Linked DNA regions of Notamacropus eugenii. The protein of the gene in region 3 interacts with the protein of the main gene of each other region in a biochemical or structural test. Links are inferred from orthologs where the notes say so. Each region holds a gene or a part of one and is shown on either strand. Other genes may lie near its edges. The genes, in order: SUPT6H, SRC and ERBB2.

Region 1 (5,743 bases), about 320 Mb from region 3:
GAAGGATTTATTTCTATGCGAATCTGACCTCACTGATTTAGAGTATCTAAACAGAAGTGACAAAAAAAAACCCAACTGTAAAGATAGGTGAGAGTCAGATTATGAAGGTTTTTAAAGACCAGGCTGAGGTGTTTGCATTTCAGCATAGAGTCAATAGGGAGCCATTGAAGATTTAGGAGTAGGGGAGTGACTAAAGTCAGCCTGTGTTTCAGATATGCTAATCCGGGAGCCTGCTGAAGGAAGAGACAGGAAGCAAGGGGGCCAAGAAGGCTTCATCTAAAGTCTAGGAGAGATGAAACTGAGGTCTGGAACTAGAGTGTTAGCAGTGAGTGGAGAGAAGAGGGCAGGGGTGAGAGCTGGTGGAGGTAGAATCCCTGTCAGCAAATGACTGGCTGTGAAGGGTTGACTCTGAGATGGTAAACCTGGGTGACCAAGGAAGCCCAGTGGTGTCCTCCACAGAAATTCAATTCTTATGATCACAAACAGAGTGAATTAGACGCCCTCTAATGCAAACCCGTTGATTTTACAAACAAGGAAACTGAAGCCCAGGAAAGTTAATTGGCTTGTCATTTGAAATCAGTCTGGAAAGACTGGCTAGAGCCAGATTGTAAATCAAGCAATAAACGTGTTAAGCATTTACCATATGTCAGGTACTCTCCTAAGTGCTGGGGACACAAAGAAAAATAATGCTAAAACAAGGAATTTGTCATTTTACCTTAAAAAAAAATTAGAATCCCTGAAATTTTTTGAGCTGAAGATCATCATATTCATGCCAGTTTTTTCAGATTATTTTGATATATATAATTTATACCAAATTGCTTGCCTTCTTAAAGACAGGATGGAATTAAGTGCTCAAAAATTGTTTTTAAAAGAATGTCAAAAATTGTAATTACACGCACCTGGAAAAAATATTGAAAAAGAAAAAGATTATTTAGATAGCTGTGTGTAGAGGATGGGTGAGAGAGGGGAGAAAACGGGACAGAAGCTTCCAGCAACAGTCACCTGAACAAAGGGGATGGCTGCGTGAGAGAAGACAGATGCAAGAAATCTTTCAACTAGTCTCAACGGAAGGAGGGACATGCAGATTGGAGGGGTACGCTGCGCCTCCCCCACCAGCCTAGTGAGGACACTCGTTCGCCACGGCCGGGGCCTGGCTCTCCTTCTTCCCCCCATTCCCTTCCTCCTCTTCCTGTCCACCCAGCTGGGCCAGAGTCCGGAAGCCTTCCCGTCCCCTCCTCCCCGCGACTCCTCCAAGCCCCGCCCCCACGCGTTGCTCCGTCCCTTCCAGATTCCTCGAAGTTCAGGGCTCCTCCTCCCACCCACGTGTTTTTCCGCCCCAGGCCCCGCCTCCCAATGGTTCCCCCCTCCCCTTCCGCCTCGAATGCACCTAGGCCCAGTCCCCGGGGATCCCCCAGGCCAAGTTCCGCCCCCGGGAGGGGACTTTTTCCATTCTTTCCTCTTCCCGGCCCCGCCCCGTGGGCTCACCGGACCCGTAGTGTACGTCATGAGAGTGCAGCCGGACGTTGTGGCGCGTGTTGAGGAGCTTCACGACAGAGCCGCAGGTGACGAAGGGCAGGTCGGAAGCTCCAGCCAGGCCCAGCAACCCCGCAAACAGCAGCAGCTGCCCCGCCGGGCCCCGCCGCCCCATCGCCCTGACGGAAACACGGCCCCACCCCGGAACCGGAAGCAGTGGGCGGGGCCAGGCCTCCGCTCTCTATGCCCCGTCTCGCTAGAGCGCCCGGAGGAAACGGCCGGACTCGCCTGCCTCCTGCTCACGCACGCCCCCACGCGGAGGCCGCCGGCGGCCGCTTTCCTGCCGCGGTCCTAGTTTCCCTTCGCCTGCTCCAGCCCCAGAGAACAGCCCGTCCCTCCGAGTGGCGGGGGAGAGGGCCGCCTGCTCTCAGTGACAGCGCACCGGAAGTGACCTCAGACGCCGCGGCGGCCGCGGGCGTCGGGGAGGGGGCACGTCGGTGTGGGGGCCCCCGGACTCGCTTTCCGTGACTCTGCCAAGCGGCGACTCCATTTTCCTCGGAGGCTCGGCGCTGCGGCGGGCTCGGTAAGGCCGGGGTCGGGGCTCGGCGTGGGGGGACTGCGTGGGTGGTCCGGGGTGCGGCGGGGCGGGGCGGGGGACCCTGAGGGGCGCGGGACTCGCCGCTGGGGCGCCCCCCCGCACACGCCTTCTCGGCTGGGCGGCCCCCGCCCGCCACTTGTTGAGTCCTTGGGGTCCCCCGGCTCCCAGAAGCTGGGGAGACGCCTCCCGGGGTGGCGGGCGGTGCCTGGGCCTGGTTCCGCCTGCGGGTGCGGGGGGACCTCGTGGAGGGTGTCGGCCTTTCGGGGGCATTCCCGTGTCCCTCCGCTGTGTCTGCCGGAGGTCGCAGCCCCTGGCTCGGCTCGAGTTACCCACGCCGCCGGGCGGGGGAGGGACCTTTAAATGGCCCCGGAGGCCAAGCTCAGACCTCCGGGGTCTCGTGTGTGCGTGCCTGTCAGCATCGCCTGCATCAGTGTGGCGCTTACTGTGTACCAACCCGTGCCCAGCGCCCGAGTTACAGAGAAAGGGCAAAGAAAGGCCAACACCCAGTCCCTGCCCTCAAGGAACCCCCAGTCCAACTGGGGAGGTCCGTGCTAGAGACTGTACCAGCTAGGTGCTGGCCGGAGAGAGGCCCGAGGGATCCTTCGGTGTGTTAGCGTGTACTAAGTACTTACTGGGTGCCAAGTGCCGTGCTAAGTGGTGGGGAGGCCGAGAGGAGGCGTGTACCTTCTATTGGAGGAAGCAGGTATGCTGCAGGTACTCCAGAGTGGGTGGAGGTCGTCTGAAGTGGGAAGGTTCTAGCTAGCCGCTGCGGCTTGGGAAAGGCCTCTTTTGTAAGGTGGGATTTGAGCTGCCTCTGGTAGGAAGCCCGGAAACTCGGAGGAAAAGGCAGGAGACTGAGCATTCCCGGCCTGGGGGACGTCTGTGACAGGCCACGGTCCACCCCCACCGTAGGGGAGAAGGAGAGGGGAGACTGAGCGGTATGTCTGAGGAACTGGAAGTAGGTCAGGGTGGCCCGCTGCACTATTGAATCCTTGCTGAACAGGTAGGAAGGAGCCGGCTTGTGAAGAGCTTTAAATGTCAGATTTTATGTTTATTCCGGGAGATGATATGGAGTCGCTGGAGCTCGTTGACCAGGGAAGGGACAGATTTTCCTATCTGCAATGTAAGAAAATCACCTTGGCAGCTTAGGATGCACTGGAGTGTGTTCCTCCTTGCTTGCCCAAGAGGTCCACGCCATCAGAGAAATGAAGACATGACTTGCACTTGACTTTGTTCTGAGTGAGGGAGGGCTGTGCAGGTCACCAGCCTCACTTCTTCTCCAGAGCCATCTGAATCCAGTGACCAGATATTCATCAGAATGACTGGAGATGACCCAGGATGAGGCAGTTGGGGTGAAGTGACTTGCCCAAGGTCACACAGCTAGTGAGTGTCAAGTGTCTGAGATGAGATTTGACCTCAGGTCCTCCTGACTCCTGCACTGGTGGTCTATCTACTGCACTGCTTAGCTGCCCCTAGGATGCATTGGAGTAGGAAAAGATTTGAAGCAGGGAGACTAGTTAGAAGGTTATTCCTATAGTGCAGAAAAGAGGTAATTAATTTGTGGCTGTGTTGATGAAGAGAAAAAGACAAATTTGAGAAATGTATTAAATTTTGCAAAATAGAAACAATAAGATTTGGCAATGGATTACTTAGCTGGGGTGGGTGAGAGGGAGAAGCTGGGTAACTGGGAGGTTGTTGGTAGCCTCAACAGTAATAGGGAAATTTAAAGGGGGGGAATATAATGGATTGTGTTTTGGTTTTGTTATATTTGAGATACTTGTGGGACAGCCCAAGATACCCAAGATCCAGTTGGAGAAAGATGATTAGCTCAGCAGAGAAACTGGGGTTGAATACATAGAGCCAGGAGTCATCTGTATAGAAATTATAATTGAACTCATGGGAGCTAATGAAAGCACAAAGTGAGTTAAAATAGAAGGAGATGCAGGATATACTGTTGTGGGATACTCACAGTGGGCATGATCTGGCAAAGACAAGAAGCAATTGTTGGACAGAGGGGAAGAACCTAGACAGAGCTGAGTCACAAAAACCTTTAGAGAAAAGAAGATGAACAGTAGTATCAAATACAGCTTTGAGGTTAAGAAGGATCAGGATTAAAAAGGAGAAAATGCCCTTGGAGTTGGCATTTAGAACTCATTGGCCCAGTGGTAGTCTGGCCATGTCTAATCCCTGCTACTGGGGAGGCTGGATCTCTTGAGCTGCATTGGGCTGTGCAGCACTAAATTTGGCCTTGATGTAGTGAACTCCCCGGGAATAAGGGCCCACTAGGTGACCTAAAGAAGGATGAACTGGCCCAGGTCAGAAAAGGAGCAGGTTAAAGAAGTTTGGCCATCAGTGGGATCAAGTCCCAAGTGGCCCATGCACTTCTAGGGAGAGCCCAGTCTTTTGAGGGAAAGGAGATAGGGGGGCTTACCTGCCAAGGTTCTATGGTTCCTCCAGATAATAAGTGACACCAAACTTGGACCCCATACTCTTTAACTGTATATCCAATGCTTTTTTCATTTCTATTCCTGCCCTTCCTCCCTCTCCTTAACTCTTGTCTGCTGCCCCAGACATCCTGAGCCACCACCTTGGGAGTTTGTCATTATTTCTGTGAGAGTTAGTTAGTAGTTATACAGGTACTAAAAGCCCTGGAGGAAGAATATGCAGTTTAACTGACTCTTGTGGGAAAACATTGTTCCCATACTTCTCTGAAATAGTTGTTATATTATTAAAGAGTCCTCATCTCAGTTCTCTGGCTATCTTGATTCTAGATGGAACAAATATTTGATCTGACCGATACATCCAGCCAAAATGACTGTAATGGAAATAATTAATGACCGTTGGTTTAAGTAGTCTGAATGCAAAGAGTCAGATTAACTCTAGTATTGTTCCCTTTTTGGAATCTGTGTATTGAAGTCTAACTAGACAGGTTCCTGTTTGAGGGAGAAGCTTCTATTTGTCCCAGGCTTCAGTCAGCTAATCCAAGTTCTCTACCCTGACAGACTTGAGAGTCGATCACTTTTAGAGTCTGGTGAAATGTGCAGTGTGTCTGAGTCTATGTGCCATATTAAATGAGGAAGAGATTCCAATCTTTAGGACTTAAACTAGTTGGATTTTGGAAAAGAAAATGGCTTTTTAGATTATTGTTGGTAATAGTAATCAGATTTTTACTTTAAGAACTTTGATCTAAATTTAGATTAGGTAAGGCATTTATTAAAGTCTTTGTGCTAGGTACTGGGCTAAATTGGTCATTTTTTAGGTCCTCATCAATTGATATTGTGTGGCTAAATCTTTTAGCTATATGTCAACTAGAAAGTCCAGTTGGAGTTATTAACCTTTGAGGGTTTTAATACCTTGGTCATGGAGAATGAAGACTGGTGCTAGCTCAGTGATCTCAGGCAAGATGGTAATCTTTCTTGACTTTAGTGTCCTTCTCTGAAATGTAGGGAGCACAAATCCTTGCGTTACCTACCATATAATAACCATTACCTGGTTATTATAGATGAAACGTTATTCAGCTCAATTACTGGGACTGGAGTATTCTTTCAAATTTTTACATTTCAAAATTTATTAAACTGCTGCTGTTTGCAATTCATGCATTTTGCAGTGCAATTTGCATTCAGCTGGGCTGTGATAATAGAAGACAAAAGCGGTTCTACCCTCAGGAGTTTC
Region 2 (5,743 bases), on a different chromosome or scaffold from region 3:
CCACCTTGGAAGAACTGAGATTTTACAGATCCCCAGAGTATACCCTACTCTTGACAAAGGATCCAAAAGTCAAGTAACTGGTTAAGAGAAAAAAAATAAGACCAAAGAAGGTTACTTTATTGGTGAACAGATATCTCCTTCCATCCTATTGGATGAGGAAGAAGAATTACTGGACTCCCTGAAAACCATTATTTTTTAAAAAACATTTTTTTGGATCCTATGATTCAAGAAATCATACATAAAAACTGTCCAGGTCTATTAGAACCAGGAGGCAAAGTTAAGATAGAAAGAATTCACTAGTAATCTCCTAAAAGGAAGAAACAAATAAATAAAAAAAACCTGGGAATATCACAGCCAAAAAAAATAAAACTTTCATTAAAAAATAGTAATACTGGAAGTATTCAGAAAGAACTAGTTCAAGCACAGGATCACATAAGAACTGGGAACTACTACCAAAAACAAGAGATTTTGGAATACAATATTCCAAAAGGCAATGAAGTAGGCTTACCAATAAAAATTACTTATTCTGTAATGCTGATTATTATTCTACAAAGGAAATAATGGATTTGTAATGGAATAGAGACCCTTTAAGCATTTCTAACGTAAAGACAAGTATTATGTAGGAACTTAGAAATGCAAACACACAAGCCCAGAAAAACCAAGAAATGTACATTTATTTGAACAATTATAAGGAACTATATGATGATGCAAGGCTAAATTCTAATGGAGAGAATATATGTGTCCCTTTAGAACTGAATCACAGCAAAGAATATTGAAGAAAAATGGCTCATTGGTTCTGAGGTCTTTAAGAGGTGAAATAGAAAGAAGGATAAGAGTAATACACTAGTATAGAAATGAGGGAGAAGGGGGAGTGAAACTTTTTTCATAATTGGGATGTATGAGAGTAACCTTATTTGAAAGGAAGGAAGGAAAGGGGCAAAGGAATGGTTATCAGAAGAACCTTACTCAAACGAGTTAAATATAAACACACACACACACACACACACACACACACACACACACATACTGCCACACCCCCTCACACACAGTTTATTGCAGAAATACATCAAATTAAATTGAAAAACAAGTGAGGATAACGAGTCAGTGAATGAAGAGAGGGAGTAATAACAGGGTAGGAGTAATCACAAACCAAAGAACTTCCTGATCCTGAAGAAAGAAATGAAAGGAAGAAAAATGAAAAATACTAGACTCTGAGAGGGAAGAGTGTGCCTTAGATTATCTCTTAGACAACTAGGGGATAGCTGAACAAACTGTGGCATATTATATAATGGAATATAATTGCAACATAAAATAAGAAAAAAGAGATAATTGTGGAGAATCCTGGATAGTATGAACTGATGCACAGTGAAATGAGCAGAACCAAGAGAACAATTTACACAAGGATAGCAGCATTATAAAGAAAAACAACTCTGAAAGACCTAAGAATTCTGATCAATTCAATGACTTCTTTAGAGGACCTATGATAAACCATGCTAGCCATATCCTGAAAGAAAGGTGATAGAAGCAAGAAACAGAAAGAGAAATACATTGTTATTACATGGACTTCATATGGATTCATTTGACTTTACTATGCATATTTATAACATGGGTTTTTCCCCCTTCTTTCTTGAGGTTTCTAATGGGGAGGAGCATTGAAGATGAAGCAATAGTGATTTTCAAAACAGACAGCTGCAACAATGTTTTAAATGCACGGAAGATTATGGAAGGAAGTTCAGGAAGCAATATAGATAATCAGGACAGTTTTGACATAATGTGAGAATTAATTACATATGTATTTTAAAAGAACATGGTATGAAATGGTGATTTGTGATACAGAATCAACTTTTTTGCTGTTTGAGTTAAGAATAAAAACAAAATGTTTTTAAAATTTTAAAGAATTTAAATTTAAGAAGTAAAAAGAAAACATCTCTCCAAAAGAAAAAAAAAATCCTTTGATTCCAAAGAATTACCAGTGATTGGCAGCAAGGGCAATTACTGTTAGCCCTAACAGCTATCTGTTCAATGTCTTTATTTATTTTATTTTATTATTTTTTAACTGAATTATTTTATTTGTTTTCAGTGTTTGACAATCACTTCCATATATCTTAGATTTTCTTCCACTTCTTCCGCTTCATTCCCCCCTTCCTCCCCACACCCTCCCTGAGATGGTATACAATCTTATACAGGTTCTACACGTACATTCCTATTAAATGCATGTTGCATAGAAGAATTAAAATGAATGGGAGAAACCATAAAACAAAACAAAACACAATACAAAAGAAAACGATCTGTTTCTATCTGAGATCCAATTCCATAGTTCTTTCTCTGGATGTGGAAGGCATTTTGCTTCAAGACACCACTGCAAATTTTTTAAGTCTGTGCATTTTAATGAAATACTACGTCTACCAAAAAAATTCCTCACACACTGTGGTTATTGCTGTGCTCTTTTCACTCAGCATCAGTTCATATAAGTCCTTCCAGGCCTCTCTGAAGTCTTCCTGTTCATCATTTCTCACAGCACAATAGTATTCCATTACATTCATATACTACAGCTTGTTCAGCCATTCCCCAATTGATGGGCATCCCCTTGATTTCCAGTTTTTGGCCACCACAAAGAGTGCTGCTATAAATATTTTTGTACATGTGGGACCCTTTCCCATTTATATGATCTCTTTGGGATACAGTCCCAGAAGCGATATTGCTGGGTCAAAGGGTATAAACATTTTTGTAGCCCTTTGGGCATAGTTCCAAATTGCTCTCCAGAATGGTTGGATCAGCTCACAGCTCCACCAACAATGAATTAGTGTTCCAACTCTCCCACATCTTCTCCAACATTTATCATCTTCCTGTTTTGTCGTGTTAGCCAATCTGATAGGTATGATGTGGCAACTCAGAGTCGTTTTGATTTACTTCTCTCTAATCAACAGTGATTTAGAGCATTTTTTTATATAATTATAGATACCTTTAATTTCTTCCTCTGAAAATTCCCTGTTCATATCCTTTGACCATTCATCAACTGGGGAATGCAATGTCTAATTATTATGGGATTCTTTAGGGATAAATGGATATACTGTAATCTTTCATGTGTTCTGACTGTTCTCTTCCCTCAAAACTTCTCTAATTTTTCTATAAGCAGAGGTGGCAGCTACCAGTGTATTAAAATCTAACTTAAAAATATATCCAAAAAAAAGTCCAAAAGAGGGAACCACTCTCCCATCCAAGTGTACAGGAGCAGTCAGGGACTGACCCTGACAAAATTTCTTGATTCAGGAATTTAAACCAGAAACATGAATAAAGAGAAGAAGGCTCTAAACAATAAAGAAATCTTAGGATACAATGATGTCCAGGACATAATCAAATAAAGTATGATTTGGTTACAAAGTCTCTAAACATGCCCATCAACAAAAGAAAGAAAAAAACAGAACAATGAATTTGGTATGCAATTTAAAAAACTAGAAAAGCATTACAAAAAAAAGAACTAAACACAGAAACAGAAATTTGGAAAGTCAAAGGAGATTAACAAAATTGAAGGCAAAAAAAAAATAACTGATAATTAAAAGTAGTAGCTTATTTTAAAAAATATCATAGTTTAAGTTAATTAATATGAGTTTTTAAAAAAGGAGTGTACAATCAAATTGTCAGTATGTATCAAAATCTAAAAAGCAAAATTCATAATATAGGTAAAATAAAGGAAATTATGAAAATGATTATGCCAATTATATGCCAACAGAATGGATAACTTAGATGCTATGAAAGAATACTTATAAAAGTATTATATATCTAGATTGATGCAACAAAAATAGATAATTTTAATAACATAATTTCAGTTAAAAAAAAACTTTTTAGTGCTATAAATAAAAAGAAAGAATATCCAGGACCAAATTGCTTTTAAATTGAATTTTGTCAAATATTCAAAAAACAATTAATTTCAATATTATGTAAACTATTCACAAAAGTGGAAAAAGATATCTTACCAAAAATATTCTATGATATAAACGTAGTCTTGGTACCTAAACGAGGGAGAAAAAAAGCAGAGAAAGTAAATTATAGACCAGCATGACTTATGAATATTGATGAAAAATCATTAAATAAAATATCAGCACAGAGGCTACAACAAAACATTTTTGGAGCTGTGAAATGGCACAACCATGTTAAAAAGCAATTTGGAATTCTGCAAATAAAGTGACTTAAAAGTCCATATGCTCTGAATCAGAGACACCATTATTAGGCTTATACCCTAAGGAAGTTATAGTGTAAGGGGACCAGAGGGTCCCAGGGGGTGCAAGTCAGAGGCAAAGCCTGTTCCCGTGGGAACGGTGCTGACGCACACCCTGGCAGAAGCTCTGTGTGACCCTGGAACCTGATGTTCCTGCAGACACTGATGTCCTGTACAGTAAAGTTACAAGTGAGCCTGGGAACCCAGGAACTAGCTGCAGGAACAAGATAAGCTTCCTTACTTACTGGGGATGTAAGGATGTGGAATAGTCATGAGAAGGTGAAGTAATGGGATGAGCTCAGCATGTATGTGATTGGTGGATCAGCCTTTATAAACCCTAACCCTCAGCTGAATAAAGGGTTGTTGCTTGGATCATCTTGTCTCCAGTCTTCTTCCTTCAGGGCCCACAGATTAGAGGCCCGTGGGTCAGGGGGATCCAGGGGGCTTGGGCCCTGACCCCGAGCATTATAGCAGTACTTTTTGTGATGGCAAAGAACTGGAAACAAAGTAGATATCCATCAACTGAGGAATGGCTAACAAGTTATGGTACATGAATGTAATGAAATATTTATTACAGTAAATGAATGTGCTATAAGAAATTATGTATTTCTGATAAATACAGAAAAGCATGGAAAAGATTTATATGAAGTGATACAGAAATAAATCCACATAAATTATCAGGTTTTCTATATAGTACCAATAAAACCTAGTGAAGACAGAGAAATTCCATTCAAAATAACTAAAGAACATATAAAATACTGGGAATCCAGGTAACAAGATACTCACAAGAATTCTATGAATGCAACTACAAAGTACCCCATACAGAAATAATTGAAGAAATATTCATTTCTCATGGTTAAGTTGTGCCAATGTAAAAATGACAATCTTTCATAAATTTGTTTAATGCTATGCCAAACTAGTAAAGGATTACTTTTTAAGAGTTAAAATATAAAAAAAAAAAACAACCAAAAAACAAAAGGTTAAGAATCTCAAAGGAAAATGAAAAAGAGGTGAGAAGGAAAGGGTCCTAGTAGTACCAGATCACAAACTATATTACAAAAAAGTAAATATTAAATCTAATTGGTATTGGTTTTAAAATAGAGAAAAATCAATGGGAAGAGCAGGTTAACTACACAACATGTAGAAGAAAATGAACATAGTTGTTTAATGTTCAATAATACCAATTATTAGGGTAAGGGCTCACTATTCAACAAAAATGGAAAAGCAGTCTGACAAATTAAGATTAGAACAGCATCTCATACCACACACCAAGATAAGTTCCAAACAGATACATAATTTAGACATAAAAGGTCACATCATAAACAAAAACAGAGGACCAGGAAAGGAAATACTTCTGGACAAGTTAATGTTCCCTCTTTTAGCCTCAGTTTCCCTATCAGTAAAACAAGGAAAATTGGACTTAAGGTGATCCCTATCTCTCACTCCACTTCTCCACTCACTTCTAAACTCTCTGCAATCTGGATTCTTACCTAATAACTCAACTAAAACCTTTCCAAAAGTACCTAT
Region 3 (5,743 bases):
TTTTATACATGAGGAAATTGTGGCTCCAGCAAGGTTGTTGCAGAGTCCAGAGTCACACAGCTAACAAGCTCCATAGATGGCATTTGAACCCAGGACTTTCTGGCTTAAGTCCAGCATTTTATATTACACCAGAGGGCAAAGGCTGTTTATCTGGGGTCCATGAACCATGGGTTTTTTGGGGGGGAAGGTGTCCATGAACTTGGATGGAGAAAAAAAATGCAGTTATTTCCATTAACTTCTAACTGAAATATAACATCTTTAAATGATTTAAAAACACTGTTCTGAAAAGGGATTCATAGGTTTCATCATACTGTCTAAGGGGTCCAAGGTTGCAACAGAGGTGAAGAACTTCCACGACTTGGGCAAGACAATGCCTTCCTTTTTTTTTTTTTTTTTTTTTTGGTCCCTTGGAAGACTAGACAACTGGGTCAGAATTATTTTTCTAGAAAAAGAGAAATGGCACTCTTCAGGATGCTGCCTTTAGGGAAAGTGAATTTGGGACTGTGACTGACTCTCAGTCTCACAAGTTAGTCATCGATGACAAAATCAAAGTATTTTATTTTGACCTTTGAAATGCAATGAATTTATCTTCCCCATTATACTTTACTTAATACTTAAATGAGTTTACTTCCCTGGAGCACAACCACTAATGCGGGGGAGGGAATGGTGGATAATAGGGGAGCCAACCTCAGTATTAATAATCATAAGCATAAGCTGTAGATAATACACAAATTGAGAATTTACATGGCTTTCAAAGTCAATAATTCCTCAGCCTATGAGATAGGATTCTGGCAAAAGTCTGACCTCTCTGCCTTTTATTCACTCCCCTTGCCCAGACTCTGAAGTCCCTCCTCAATGCCCCTTCCTGTAGCCTCACAGGTAGTTTCCTTTAGGTAGAATTACCTATGACATATCCTTACAGTATGCTGCCCCTGAAGAGACGGGATAGGGAGCAACTTGTATGAAGAACTGACCCTTTGACTATCCCTTCCCCTCCTTCCTCAATACCCCCCATCCCCAACATATTCATCTCCTTTCTCCTTTGAACAGGTCCATCAAGGATTTTTTAAAAATATGAGCATAAGAACAGTAGTAGGGAAACCTGTGGAAACTGAGGCACAAAGGTAAAGAAACTGAGGCAGGGAGAGAACTATAGACCCATATTACCAACATAACAGAAGCTCCCATCAGGCCTCCTTTCTTGGTCACCCAGTTTTTTCAGCAGTTGAACAAAAACATAGTTTCAAGAATCCAGATTACACACTAACTGTCCTGCCTTAGCCAGAATATTAGAGTCTGAAGAGATTCTGGATTGCGGGTCGGGAAGCTAAACATGTGGGGTCAGAGAGGGAGAGCTAAGTACTATGTTCTGGATCCAAATGGAGAGGATGGGATACATTTATTTGGGGCTTTCCAGCAAACCTGACTCAGTCATCTCAAAGATCCTGGGTATGCAAAGAGCACAGTTCCCCAGAACCCAAGTTATGGAGTCAGCGTTGTTTGGTAACACAAAGGAACACACACATACAGACAAAACAGACTTACAGACATTGAGACACACACAGACCCCGCCCCCAGAGGCACATAGAGAGAGACTCAACATCCGCCAAGATCCTCTCCTCAAGTGTATGCTGCCCTCAACAGCCTTCAGTCCTATCCCACCTCATCCCTTTCTCCCTCCACCCTCAATGAAGGAAAAGGCCAAACCAAAAGCAACAGCCCTTACCCTTTCAGCTCCAAGTGGTCCCTTTTAGTTTGCCAAGTCCCCAACCTTTGGAATTCTCCCCCATGCCCCAAGACCACCCCAGAACCCCTCTTTATGTCCCATCCCTTACACCTGCCGAGTTAAGCCCAACAAAATTAAGCCTTTCTCTCCTTCCCAGACTGGCCCAGAAGAAATTTATTCAAAACAACTGTCTCCCCTACCCGCCCCCTCTTTTCTTCCGTCTCTAGGCCTCCCTCCCCACACTAGTGAGTGTGGTAACATCCAAGCAAACCTACAACCTTCTTCTCTCCCCACTCCTGGTCCAACTGGTTATCTCTCTGCCCCCTCCCAACCCCACCCCCCCAGCCCAAGGCAGAATTGGAGTAGTAACAACCTGAGGTAGAGAGTGGGTGGGGGGGCAGGAGAGGAGGGAGGATTGAAGAACAAATTAGGACCCCCCCCCCCCCCCCCAGAAAGCCAGCCCAGCCCAGTTCAGTCTGGAGATTAGTGGCTGTGGATTTTAAGAGTCAAACAGAAGGAACATATGAACGCGAATACACAAACGCACGCGCGCGCGCGCGCGCACACACACACACACACACACACACACACACACACACACACACAAAACTTAGCAGGACTTTTTTCCCCCTTCTGGTCAATTCTGTAAAACTTTTTGACTATTTCCCCGTTTGACAAGAGCTGGCTGGGACCCAAGCCCTATGTCGGGCCCCTTCAATGTAACTTTACCCCCTGCCCTATCTACCTCCCTGATCTGGCTTCATCTCTCTGACTTCATCCCCCCAGGCCCTCCCGGGAGTCCCCCTTCCCCCGGAGGCTTGGTCATATTTCTTCTCTATTGACTCCCATGCTTTCTAAATCTTTGCTTTCCTCACTCCCACTCCTCATCCCTGTCAAATGTGCCCCTAAGTTTTTCTTCCCCTTGAGAATTCTTTGCAGGAAAGGGCTGCAGACAGTTCTCTCCCAGTCGGACTCACCTTGGGTTCCCCAGACTGCTGGGGGCAGGAGGACCAGAAGGAGCCCCCAACAGCAGCAGCCCGACAGATCCATAGTCCTCACTTCGGCCCGGGGCCCATGGCTCCCAGGCTCAGGAGGAGGACCGATGGAACCTAAGAGCTGGGAGATAAGGGGATCCTGGGAAGCACCCCAATCCGGGCAGGAATCCCCTTGAGCGAGTCACTGGCTCAGTGGAGGTATTTTTCTTCTTTGCTGACTTCTCTCTTTTAGCCAGGATTGCAGGGGAATCTCAGCTCTACAACTTCATTCCTGTAGTTCCTCAAAGCAGTCACTGCTTGTCCTCCTCCTCCTCCTCCTCCTCCTCCTCCTCCTCCTCCTCCTCCTCCTCCTCCTTCTCGGGAGCGCGCTGCTCGGTCTCGATCCCGCCCTCCCCCCCCCCCCCTCCCAACTACATTCCAACAAGTCTCTGGGAGTGGCAGTGGCTGCTCCCAGCTTTACTTTCTATCTCCCTGGGTAGGCCTGGGGGTGCCTCAATCTCCCCTGAATCTAGAGACTTTTTTAGAAACCTGTTGTTCCTGGAAGGAGGGGTTGGGGACAGACGGGATACTTTACTTTTGCCATCACCAGGCTTTCCCAGTCTACTGTTACACAACCCTCTAATCTGGAGGGAACCCTAATCAAGGCTGCCTTTCCCCATCTTCTCCTAACCCAGGCTCCCCTTCCCTTTATTAACAAGCTCCATTCCTTTCCCCCATGCTCATCCTCATCTCAATTATCTACTCCAACCCTTTCTTCTAGAACAGGGATTCTTAACTATTTTTGTGTCATGGACCCCCTTTGGCAGCCTAATGAAGCCAATGGAGCCCTTCTTAGAATAATGTTTTTATGTAACTGAAGGAAATGCTAAATTTCAGTTAGATTAGAAGTTAGTGAAAATAAAAGATTTCTTTTTCCCCATCCAAGGTCACAGACCTCCTGAAATGTCTACAGAGCCCTTGGTCTGTGGATGGATCGCAAATTCCAGTTCTTTTGTGGAAGGATAGGGAAGGGAATATACTAAGTTTGAGATATTCTAGGCATCCTCTTCTCAGGCTCTGAGAGAAAAAGGCAGTAACTCAGGCTCAGAAAAGTGACTACTACAAGGTGGGGAAGGGACAGATTTAGTTAATGTTAGTTAAGCAGCCCCCTCAATTTGGTGTCGGACCGAGGCTGCCTCACATGGGTCTCTGTTCAGAGCCTTCTGTATAAGTCTCTCTGGGCCCAGGATTCGTCCATTTGGGGATTTTCTGCGAGTTTTCTCTTTTGAAGATTCTGTGGAGTGTCTGTATGTCCCTTTGTTCACTGTCTTTATGTGGAACTTCTCTGCCCAAGGCATCCTCCATACGTTTAGGGTCTCCTTTGTGAGGTATGTACCCATCTGGGGAGTCTCTGTGCAGAATTCCTTTGGGGGGAATGTCTCTGATGGTCTATAGACTCTCTCTGGGTCCAGAGTCCCTTTTATGGGGCTTCTGTTTCAGGTCCCCTTCATCCCATAAGGATTCTTTAGGTCCTCAGAGTTCTTTCTCTCCAGAGCTCTTTTTTTTTTTCCTAACCAGGATGCTCCTGGTAGGGGAGAAGCAAGGCTATTCCAGTCCATGGTGGGGGGAATATGGGACACACAGAACAAAGATAAACACAAGGATAGCTGTTATTGTCAGTGAAATCTGACTGGCTCACACAGGAGATTTGAAGCCTAGGGAAAGTGAGGGTGTGGGGAGCTGAGTGATACCATCTTAATGAGGGAGAAAGTGTAAAAAGTAAGAGTTGCCCCCCCCCCTTTCCCTATTCTTACTTCTGTTCTCATCCTCCTCCTTCTCCCCAGTTTTCCACTCTATGTGTGAGCTGGGGTGGGAGCAGACTAGGAAGACCAACTAGGTGGGGTAGATGTTAGGCTTTGATTCAGCCTCAATAGTAAGAAATCAAGGACCCCATCAGTGTCCTCTCTGACCAGAAACCATTGGTTACCTATGAAAACCTTGAGGGTGAGGGTGTTAGAACACACGACAAATGGAGCCATTGCAGACCACTTCTTTTGCCTAGGTCGCCTCCTTCCAGACCAGAGTCACCCTCCTAGCCAGAAGTCTTCATTGGAAAAACAATGAGGTGTCAGTGGCTGGCTGAGGAGGAAGGAGGGAGGCAAAAAGAGGGGAGGGGTTAGACAGACAAGAGGGTGGGGGGGGGGGAGGAGGAGCTGAAGTTAGATCTCTGTTCCTGGGGAGGAGGCTCACGGAGGGGCTGGACTCCCGAGACAGAGAATGGGCTTATTCAGAGCTAGGAAGGAAGGGGGGAAAATTCTTGTCTGCTGTTTGAAAGAGTAGAGAAGAGGGGGCAGGGGGTGGGCCCAGCAGATTCAAATCTCCCTTTCCTTGTGCTTCCAACTCCCCCCCTCTCCCCATAAGGCCTGGCAGGAGAGGCTAGGAGAAAGATTGAGTTTGAGGGAACAATTAGAGAGGGAGAGTCTTGTGGGTCAGGAGCAGTGGGGAACTTTGGAGAGAGGAGACTGAAATAGAGGTGACTATATACAGTACATATGTAAATACTCTCTCTATATATAGGACAGAGGATCAGGAATGGGAAATCAAGGGAGAATGGGGGACATTAAAGAAAGCAGGCACACAGAGATAGACTATGGGAGGAAAATGAGGTGCTGGGAGAGGGGTAAATGGAGGAGGGAACAAAACAAAGGATCAAAGAGAGGAGGGAATGATGGAAAGAGAGAGAGTGACAGGGGAATGACTAAAAGAGAGGGAGCTTTGAGGGAAACTTTGGGACAGAAACAAGCCTGAAGGCCAGAAGGATGAAGGGTAGGTGGCAGGAGACTGAAGGACAGGAAAAAAGAGAAAATGGAGGACAAAGACAGGAGGACATGGGTGAGGGTTAGAAGGCAGCAGCTTTGCTTTACTATTCCTAGTGTTAGTCTCCTCCCTAGATCTTGGTGGTTGAAGGGAGAGCGTGGGGCACCACCTTTCTGGGGTGACCTCTAAGGGTCGCCTGGCTAGAGTCTGGGAATCAATGGCATGT

The links.
Region 1: the proteins of ERBB2 (region 3) and SUPT6H form a complex in vitro, tested with the Homo sapiens proteins (2 studies listed by BioGRID and IntAct, with this or other methods). The link is inferred for Notamacropus eugenii from reciprocal best matches to the Homo sapiens genes ERBB2 and SUPT6H.
Region 2: the proteins of ERBB2 (region 3) and SRC form a complex in vitro, tested with the Homo sapiens proteins (3 studies listed by BioGRID, with this or other methods). The link is inferred for Notamacropus eugenii from reciprocal best matches to the Homo sapiens genes ERBB2 and SRC.

Annotation. Positions count from the first base shown.
Region 1 is NC_092873.1:36,066,727-36,072,469, forward strand, and holds the start of SUPT6H (transcription elongation factor SPT6), read left to right. Parts: upstream 1-1,934; 5' UTR 1,935-2,056; intron 2,057-5,743. Other genes in the region: SDF2 (stromal cell-derived factor 2), read right to left, coding at 1,486-1,648.
Region 2 is NC_092872.1:427,961,378-427,967,120, reverse strand, and holds the start of SRC (proto-oncogene tyrosine-protein kinase Src), read right to left. Parts: upstream 4,006-5,743; 5' UTR 3,975-4,005; intron 1-3,974. UniProt on the Homo sapiens protein: Non-receptor protein tyrosine kinase which is activated following engagement of many different classes of cellular receptors including immune response receptors, integrins and other adhesion receptors, receptor protein tyrosine kinases, G protein-coupled receptors as well as cytokine receptors.
Region 3 is NC_092873.1:355,230,470-355,236,212, reverse strand, and holds the start of ERBB2 (receptor tyrosine-protein kinase erbB-2), read right to left. Parts: upstream 3,087-5,743; 5' UTR 2,777-3,086; coding exon 2,704-2,776; intron 1-2,703. UniProt on the Homo sapiens protein: Protein tyrosine kinase that is part of several cell surface receptor complexes, but that apparently needs a coreceptor for ligand binding. Essential component of a neuregulin-receptor complex, although neuregulins do not interact with it alone.